Coturnix japonica: one gene and its partner. The protein of the gene in region 1 purifies or fractionates together with the protein of each later gene. This does not show direct contact. Links are inferred from orthologs where the notes say so. Each region holds a gene or a part of one and is shown on either strand. Other genes may lie near its edges.

Region 1 (3,813 bases):
GGCCCCCATTCCCTTTTCTGAGCCCTTTTACAGCATGCAGGGTGAATGGAGCTTTGATTTGTTGTAATACCTTGGGTCGGGTTTTGGTTTTGGTTGTTGTTTTTTTTCCCTCAATCTGGGTTTGGATTTGAAACACCTCACGATGTGTAGGAAATATGTCGAAATATACCTCGAAAAAGATCAACGGAACGAAACCAACAACAACAACAAACGACAACAACCCTCCCCCCCCCAAAATAAAAGAGAAATAAAAGAGGAAAATATAGAACAGTAGTCTAAAACATAAAGTGCACGGCAATGGCTTCGCACGACTTCTACACAGCCAGGGTAAAGGGGGGGGGGGGGGGGGGGGGGGGAGCCCCCCCCCCCCCCCCCAGTTCCGCTCATCCCACCCTTCCATTGTGAAATTAAAAAGAGAATCAGTGTCTTGATTGGCAAAGAGTGATGGGGAGGGGGGGGGTGCCCCTTTCCCCCCCCCCCCTTCCCTCCCAAGTCGGGGTCCTCCATCCCAGGTGGGCGGTGGGGGCTCCCCGCAGCGCTGGGCTCTGGGTGCTGTCCATAGGGGGGGCAGGGAGGGTTCCTTGGTGGGGGTCTTCAGGCTGTGAGCACAGACTGGACCCCCCCCACCCCATCCAGCCCCCAGGAGGTGCTGAGCAGGGGGGGGAGGATGCTGGGACACTGTGGGAGAATGGGAGAGAAAGGGTCAGGATGGCCCGGTGTGCCCCACAGCCTGCTGAACCCAAAGGGAAAACACAGCCCACAGACCTCATTCACAGCTGCTTTCTGCTCTTGAGAGGTTTTATGGCACCGACTGGAGGGCAGGGTTGGAAGCAGGCAGCATCCAGCCTGGCAGCCCCCACCCCATATAAACAGGAGCCCCAGCCACAATGGGAACCCCCCCCTTTAGGCAGAGGGCTGAGCCCCAAGCAAGCAGCTGTGGGGCAGAGAGCAGCTGTGGGGCAGAGAGAGCAGCTCCCAGGGGAGCCCTGAGCACAGGCATCCATCCGCTGGCAGCACAGTGCCTCCCCACACAGGTGACTCACTCCTATCCATGAATTAAAGATTAAAGCCGAGTGCGGGTCTGACAGCTGCAGGGGGAGGAATGGGCTTTTATTTCTGGCTTTTTTTTTTTCTCCTTTTCACACCACAAAGCTGGTCGTGATCCAAATAGATAACACAAGCTTCAGCCCCACGGAGAGCCGGTGACGAGAGTGAGCGTGAGGCCGGGGGTGGATGAGCACTGAGAGTTGACTCATCGCTGCCTCATTTATGAATGAGGGGTGGAAAGGAAAGGATGGGGATGCGGAGGGAGCCGGAGGGATGAAGGGGGGGGGGAGCAGGGAGGGCTCAGCATCCCTGAGCATCACAGCAAGATATAGGGGGGGTCTGAGCAAAGCTATAGCCAGCACAGTCCTGCAGCTGCCCATGGGACAGGGGAGACCCCTGGAGCATCCCCAGGAGAGCTCTGCTGTCACCTCCATGCATCACAGCTTTGCTCCCTGCCTGCAGGAGGGCGGCAATGCTGCCGAGTGGTGGAGAATGGGGGTCCCAGTGCTAGAGGGGGGGGGTCTAAAAGCAGCATGGAGGGTGGAAACAGAGCAGAGCTACATGCAGGAGCACAGCAGGACCCCCATTGGCATAGGGGGGGGCTCTGCACCACCCCACACTGCAGAGCACCAGGCAGTGATGCTGGCAGCACAGAGAGGGCTCACCCCCTGAGCCCCCATCCCGACCCATACCTGTGCAGAGCGTGGTGCTCCCGGATCACTGCTGCTTGCAGGTGGAGAGCTTGCGGATCTTGCTGCTGGCCGAGCAGGCCTTGCGTGAGGGGTTGGAGGAGGCGCTGGCCCTGCGCTCCGCCTTGGATTTGGTGCTCAGCTGTCCCGGCTCCGTCCCGTTCATGCAGATGGCCTTGGGCAGCCCCCGGCCTCGGCTCTGCCCGTTCTGCCCTGCCTCCTCCTCAGGCACCTGTCCTGCAAGGGAAGGAAACGTGAGGCCATGGCAGCGTCCTCCCTGCATGGAGCACCACGGCCACCCTGTGCTCTGCATCACTCAGAACTGAGAAGAAGGAAACTGAAGGCAAAGGGTGAGCAGGTTTCACACTGCTCCACCTGCGGGAAGGGCACTGTCCTGCTGCAGGGATCAGGCACAGCAAGGGACACGCAGATGGGGTCGGTTTGCTCCACTTGCCCCATAACAGCCCTCTCCATCTGCCCAGCTCAATGCAGTGACTCAGCACTGGGGGCACAGAGCCCCCAGGACAGGCATCCCTGTGCTGTGCAGCTGGTGCAGGCTCTGGTCCTGTTCTGTCCCTGTACCTGGGGAGTGACAGAGGGTTTCACAACCCAGAGCTCCACTGCACTCCCATCACCCTGCAGCCCCATGGGGCTGATGGAAGGGTTCATCAGGTCCCCTGCTCCCCCACACTGGATCCAGCCACTGCAATTTCCTTCCACCGGGAACGTCACGCTCCAGAGCCCTTCAGTTATGACTCAGAGGTTTGAGTGGAAGCGAGAGCTGTAAGATGATTATGTATAATTTTCTTTAAAGGATGCTCCATCCTTTCTCCTCCAAGGCCGAACACAACGTCAGCTCCATGCGCCAGTGCTCACCCCATGACATGGGGCAGAGGGGGCACTGGGAGGGGCTGGGGGTCCCCTCTACCTGCTGTGTACCCCCAGGCTCTGCTCCTTCCTGCTTCCCATGGGGCAGCATCCCAAAGTGCATCCTCCTCCAGGTGTGGAAATCATTCAGAAACAAGAAGGGACAACACTGAGGTCTCTTGATTCAGAGTCATCTTCAGCCCCAAGAAGCTGTAGGGATCCAATGGACCAGCCCAGCACCCACATGAAGCAGCACTGGCACAGCCCCACAGTGCCAAGTAGGGGCTGGGTGCTGCAGCAGGAGACCCCAGCACCCACAATCAAAGCACAGCTGAGCACTTGTCCTTCCCCTCCCCTGGGCAGGCTCTGACCAAAGCCATGAACATTTCGGACTGGGGAGGGGGGAAACAATCCCACCATCTTTTGTGTGCCCATCTATCTCCTCCTCCCAGCAAAAAAAAGAACAATCCCGGGAGGCCGTTCTGGATGCTGAGGATGGAGGGCGAGCTGCAGGGCTAATTTTACCTCCTTCACCACTGACAGTTGCTGACGTTCAAATTAATGAAAATAACAATTCAGCATAGGATGAAATCTTGGCAACTGCCTGCCCCCGCGGAAGCCGTGGCCAGCGCTGCGTGCGCGAGAAGCCACATCCTACCGACCATCATCAGCCCATGGGCTAAAAATAAGAGGAGAGGAGGGCTGAGAGGTGGTGAGCACGCGCATCCCTGCTGCCTCTCACGGCTCTTAATGGCTCCGTCCTGCTCATTCAGGCACAGAAAAGCTTCCAAAATAAAACCGTGGAGAGCTTTTGAATCACTGTCAGACGAGCACACGGTGAGACACCTCCCCAATAGCAGGGTTTGTTTTGCAGCCTTAGAGTTATTGCTGAGGGGGGGGACACAAAGCTGAGACCCCCACACAGCTGCCATGGGGGGAGCAGAGCACCCGAATACAAACATAGCACAATAGCAACGAGTTGCTCCCAGCACTGCTGAGATGCTTAACACCGACTGAACCGGGGGGCACGTCATGTTTAAGGCTGTGCAGAGCTGCATAAATCTTTAAAGAGCCCTTTTAAGAATAACGGCATGTTCTCAGAGCCCCTTCTTCCTCTGAACGTAAGATTTAATGAGGTTCCCTCCTCCCCTCCCCACCTGAACACCCACTGCTGTGAGTCAGGCGTGCTCCTGCGCTGCCTGCCCAGCAG
Region 2 (3,813 bases), on another chromosome or scaffold:
ATCCTTACAAGGATTTCATAAGAGATATCATGCAACCTCTTATTTAACCATGATGGAAGAGGCTTGCAGAACAGTAAGCAGCAATTTTAGTTCACCCCAATATTGCTACTCAACAGCCTACCTGGCCTTATAAACAAATGCTGCACTAGTTTATTTTGCACATTTGACAAAGTTTTTCCTCACTGAGTTCCTTGAATTTTGCCATTCTCTCTTCTTTCAAAGAAGAAATAAAACAATCCTTATTATAACAGGCACGAACTGTAACTTCCATCAAAAAATTAGAAAAGCTGAGAAGCAAAGCCATCGTGCTCTTTGAAAAGACACAGTTCTGAGTACCAGCCTGTTTCTAGGCGAGCAGTAATAAGCGGGCACTTGAAAATATTTATAGTGAGATAAATTTAACATCAACCTTTGAGTTGCATAGCTTTATGGTGCATTAGTTGCTTGGCTGTGACTTTCTAAGAAGATAACACTTCTAAATTCAGTTTGTTACTTCACTCTGTACACCAAGAGCACCATTTAGTCTATACTCCTTATGAAACAGCTGATAAATAAAAATGAACCCCAATCGGTTTTATACACAGTTACAATGCACACAGATAGAAAAGCAAATCCAACGTGAATGATGGACAGAAGTACAGGTCTATTAATAGAACTGCATCCTAAAGGTTAAGAACAAAAATAATCAGACTGTTTGTATTTTATACAAGGTACACAGCTTTCTATTCTGTCCTTCGTGGCAATTCAGAGATGACTCATTATCCCAGTGGCATTATATGTGCCATTTTTGCTTTTCAATGCACCACAATTGAGGCTGATCAGTTTTAAAGTTACCTGTTCGTAGAAGTAGAGTGCTCTTTCAAAGTTCTTTAGCCCAGTGTATATCATCCCACCATAGTAGTAATAACATAAAAAGTGCTTTGCATCGTATGCCCCATTTTCTTTACAAATATCCATCATGTCCACATCTAGATATGGGAGGGCAGGTTTAAAGCATTTTGCTAACAAACAGAGCTACAAGAAAACAAATCAAGTTTCTTAAATTAGCTATTTCAAATACCCACAAAGATGACATTGAAATTCAATTCATGTAGTAGTATTTAGTATGCCTCACTCCTCTGAGAGTTAAAGAAACAGTATGTATGTCACAGTAGAGGCATAACATGGATTATACATCGTATTGTGGTATTTGGAAAAAAAACAGATTGTAAACTTCTGGAAATTATGTGAATCCTAAAGAAATCAGACTAAGCGACAAAGCAGCCTGAAACTCCAGGCCTTCCAAACTACCGTGCTGGCAGCACAAAATATTGCACTCAACATTCTCATCCAATTCTAAGTCCCAGGAGCCAAGAATGAGACAGGAGTGCAAATCCAGGCCAAAGACACAGAGACAAACATGCCTTTTGTCAGACTCGAGCAAACAGTATTTGGCCAGTACACTTACACTGTCTAAGAGAAGCTGTGCACAACTTCCAGCCCATAGAGAAGGACTTTCAGAAGTCATGAACAAAACTAAAATCTAGAGACAAGTGCTGAACATTTAATAGGAAGAGAAGGGAGTTTTATTTCAGTATACCACATAACAGACTACTGGAAAAGAATTAAAAAAACCAACATCACAAAACCTAAAGCTTTCTTTACACTGCAATACATGAACATGCATTTATCAAACAGCTACAGGTACTCTACAAGCTTTCACCCTCAGAAAAAAGCCCCGTGTTCCTCTTACCTGGCAGAGATCTGCATGTATTGAGGTCAGCTGGTTTGTGTTCATCTGCATCTTGTCTATGGCTTGTCTGAGAATGCTAATTCCTCGAAGGGGCTGTCAGAAATTACATCTCTTTCAGATAATTTCTCATAGATGGCAGCACATTGGATCTTATGTTGACACTTACAAATGAAAAATAACACTAATTGACAGGTTCCGTTAAGTAATGATTAACTTGTGGTTCCCTTTTTGTAGGACATTGCAGTCACTCAGAAAACACAATAAGCCCATGGTATGTAACTTCTCCTGATCAACTAAACAAGGTCACCAATTCTGCTCCACAAAGACAAGTTCACCAGGAAAACAGTAAACTGTTCTGAGTAAACCTTTTATTGACTCCATGAGTCCATCTAAATTCCTAGCAAATAAAGGCAAATCTCCCACTTCACTTAGTCCAGATTTGATCTCTTCATTCAAGCCAGATTTAACTTACTTTTCCAAGACATTTTCAACACCTAACCCCTAAAAAGAAATGTCCCCTACACTTTAAGGCATTTCATTAAGAACATTGTGTAAGATTGGTGAGAAGAACGCTGAAACATCTCTCTGACTCATTGGCTCTATTAGTTTTTGCAGCTCCCCTCTACTCATGCACACACACCATCTGAATAACAACCCTGGTACACCTGATTTCATGGTGTGAGAGCATGTTTTTAGCTAACTTCCCCCCACATTTTAACTTATATTTTCTTTAAAGAGGTTTTAAAATCGTCTTTTAAGTTCATTACTGCTCAGTAGACTTAACTTACATAAGGAGTCACACAAAAATAGTTTACATGAAGTTAGCAGTAAACCTTTATGAAGCAAGTAATGTCCTTTTTAAGAACATAGCTTTGTAGGCTCCGTATTTGTATTAGATGATATTTGCTCACCTGTTTTCTCTCCACAAGAGCATTTGTTAACTGGTGGCACAGGCCAGCAACTAAACAGAGAAAACAAAAGAATTCAGTAAAACAAGACTACCAATAATACCAACCTATTATCAATATATAAAAAGATTTTTCTATAACAAGCTGAATTAACTTACAAGTGTCTGTTGCATATCTAATGTGTTCCCCATTACAAGTACTGATGAAGAGCTGCACTTGTGAGAATAATGTTTCGAAATCGGGGATGCTGGGCATAGAAAACTTCACAAACCTAAAACAAGACCAAAAAAAGTTTAACACATAACATTCAGAGATTAATTAAAGAAAACCAAAATGTTTTATCTTCAGTCTCTGCAGATACAGGTAACTGCTTGCAAGAAGCGCCAAAGTGGTCACGACAGATGGCATATGATTTCCCCAAGAGCTGCACAGCACTTGGAAGTACACTCTCAATGCATAGTTCTACTATGAATCTAATTAAAAACTAGGTAGGAACTAGCTATGAACAAAGACCTCTTTACCTGCTACAATTATAATCACAATAAATATCTAACAGTGAAGTTTTTAAACTAAACCACATAACTTCTCCAGACACCCACTTGAATGTACCACAGATTTATCAACTATTACTTGATTAGACTTCTATGTCTTGCTAAGAGCTCTTTCTCTTCACTTTCACTTTCTCTCCATCCCTGCTGGTTCCTCAGCACCCTACAAGCTGTAGAGTTCCACGGTGCTTCTCCCATGAGTTGTGATTACACTACCTGTGTGCAATGAGAACTCTGCACGTGGCTTCATGCTTACAGTTTGGCTCACTCATGTCCTGCCAATTAGAAGTCCTGTACTTTTTTGCTGAAGGTAAAAACACTCATACAGGCATAAACGAGAAACAGATACAGCCTTAAGGAAAAAAATCACCATTTGGAAGTGATGATATTTTACAGGCTCCACATTTTTTTTCTGTTGAAAGCACAAATTTGCTTAAACATTTCTTCTAATAAAAGATATATGACTAAAGGAAACTAAGCACTATTCTGCAAGAGACTGAAGAGGCTTGGTTGGCAATTCAGCATGTAGCTTGAAGTTTTGATGCTGTAATGGTTAATTAACAGAAAGCCATGCTTACAAGACAGCAAGAACTCCTAATGAGTGTTCCTGCACATCCAGGGCTCC

What was found.
Region 2: the proteins of STK11 (region 1) and COPS3 purify together in Homo sapiens (affinity purification with mass spectrometry; 5 studies listed by BioGRID and IntAct, with this or other methods). This does not show direct contact. The link is inferred for Coturnix japonica from reciprocal best matches to the Homo sapiens genes STK11 and COPS3.

What each region holds. Positions count from the first base shown.
Region 1 is NC_029543.1:2,093,828-2,097,640, reverse strand, and holds part of STK11 (serine/threonine-protein kinase STK11), read right to left. Parts: intron 1,974-3,813; coding exon 1,765-1,973; 3' UTR 1,740-1,764; intron 679-1,739; 3' UTR 1-678. UniProt on the Homo sapiens protein: Tumor suppressor serine/threonine-protein kinase that controls the activity of AMP-activated protein kinase (AMPK) family members, thereby playing a role in various processes such as cell metabolism, cell polarity, apoptosis and DNA damage response.
Region 2 is NC_029529.1:4,775,550-4,779,362, forward strand, and holds part of COPS3 (COP9 signalosome complex subunit 3), read right to left. Parts: coding exon 3,767-3,813; intron 2,912-3,766; coding exon 2,799-2,911; intron 2,694-2,798; coding exon 2,644-2,693; intron 1,894-2,643; exon of another isoform or gene 1,826-1,893; coding exon 1,733-1,825; intron 1,015-1,732; coding exon 835-1,014; intron 1-834. UniProt on the Homo sapiens protein: Component of the COP9 signalosome complex (CSN), a complex involved in various cellular and developmental processes.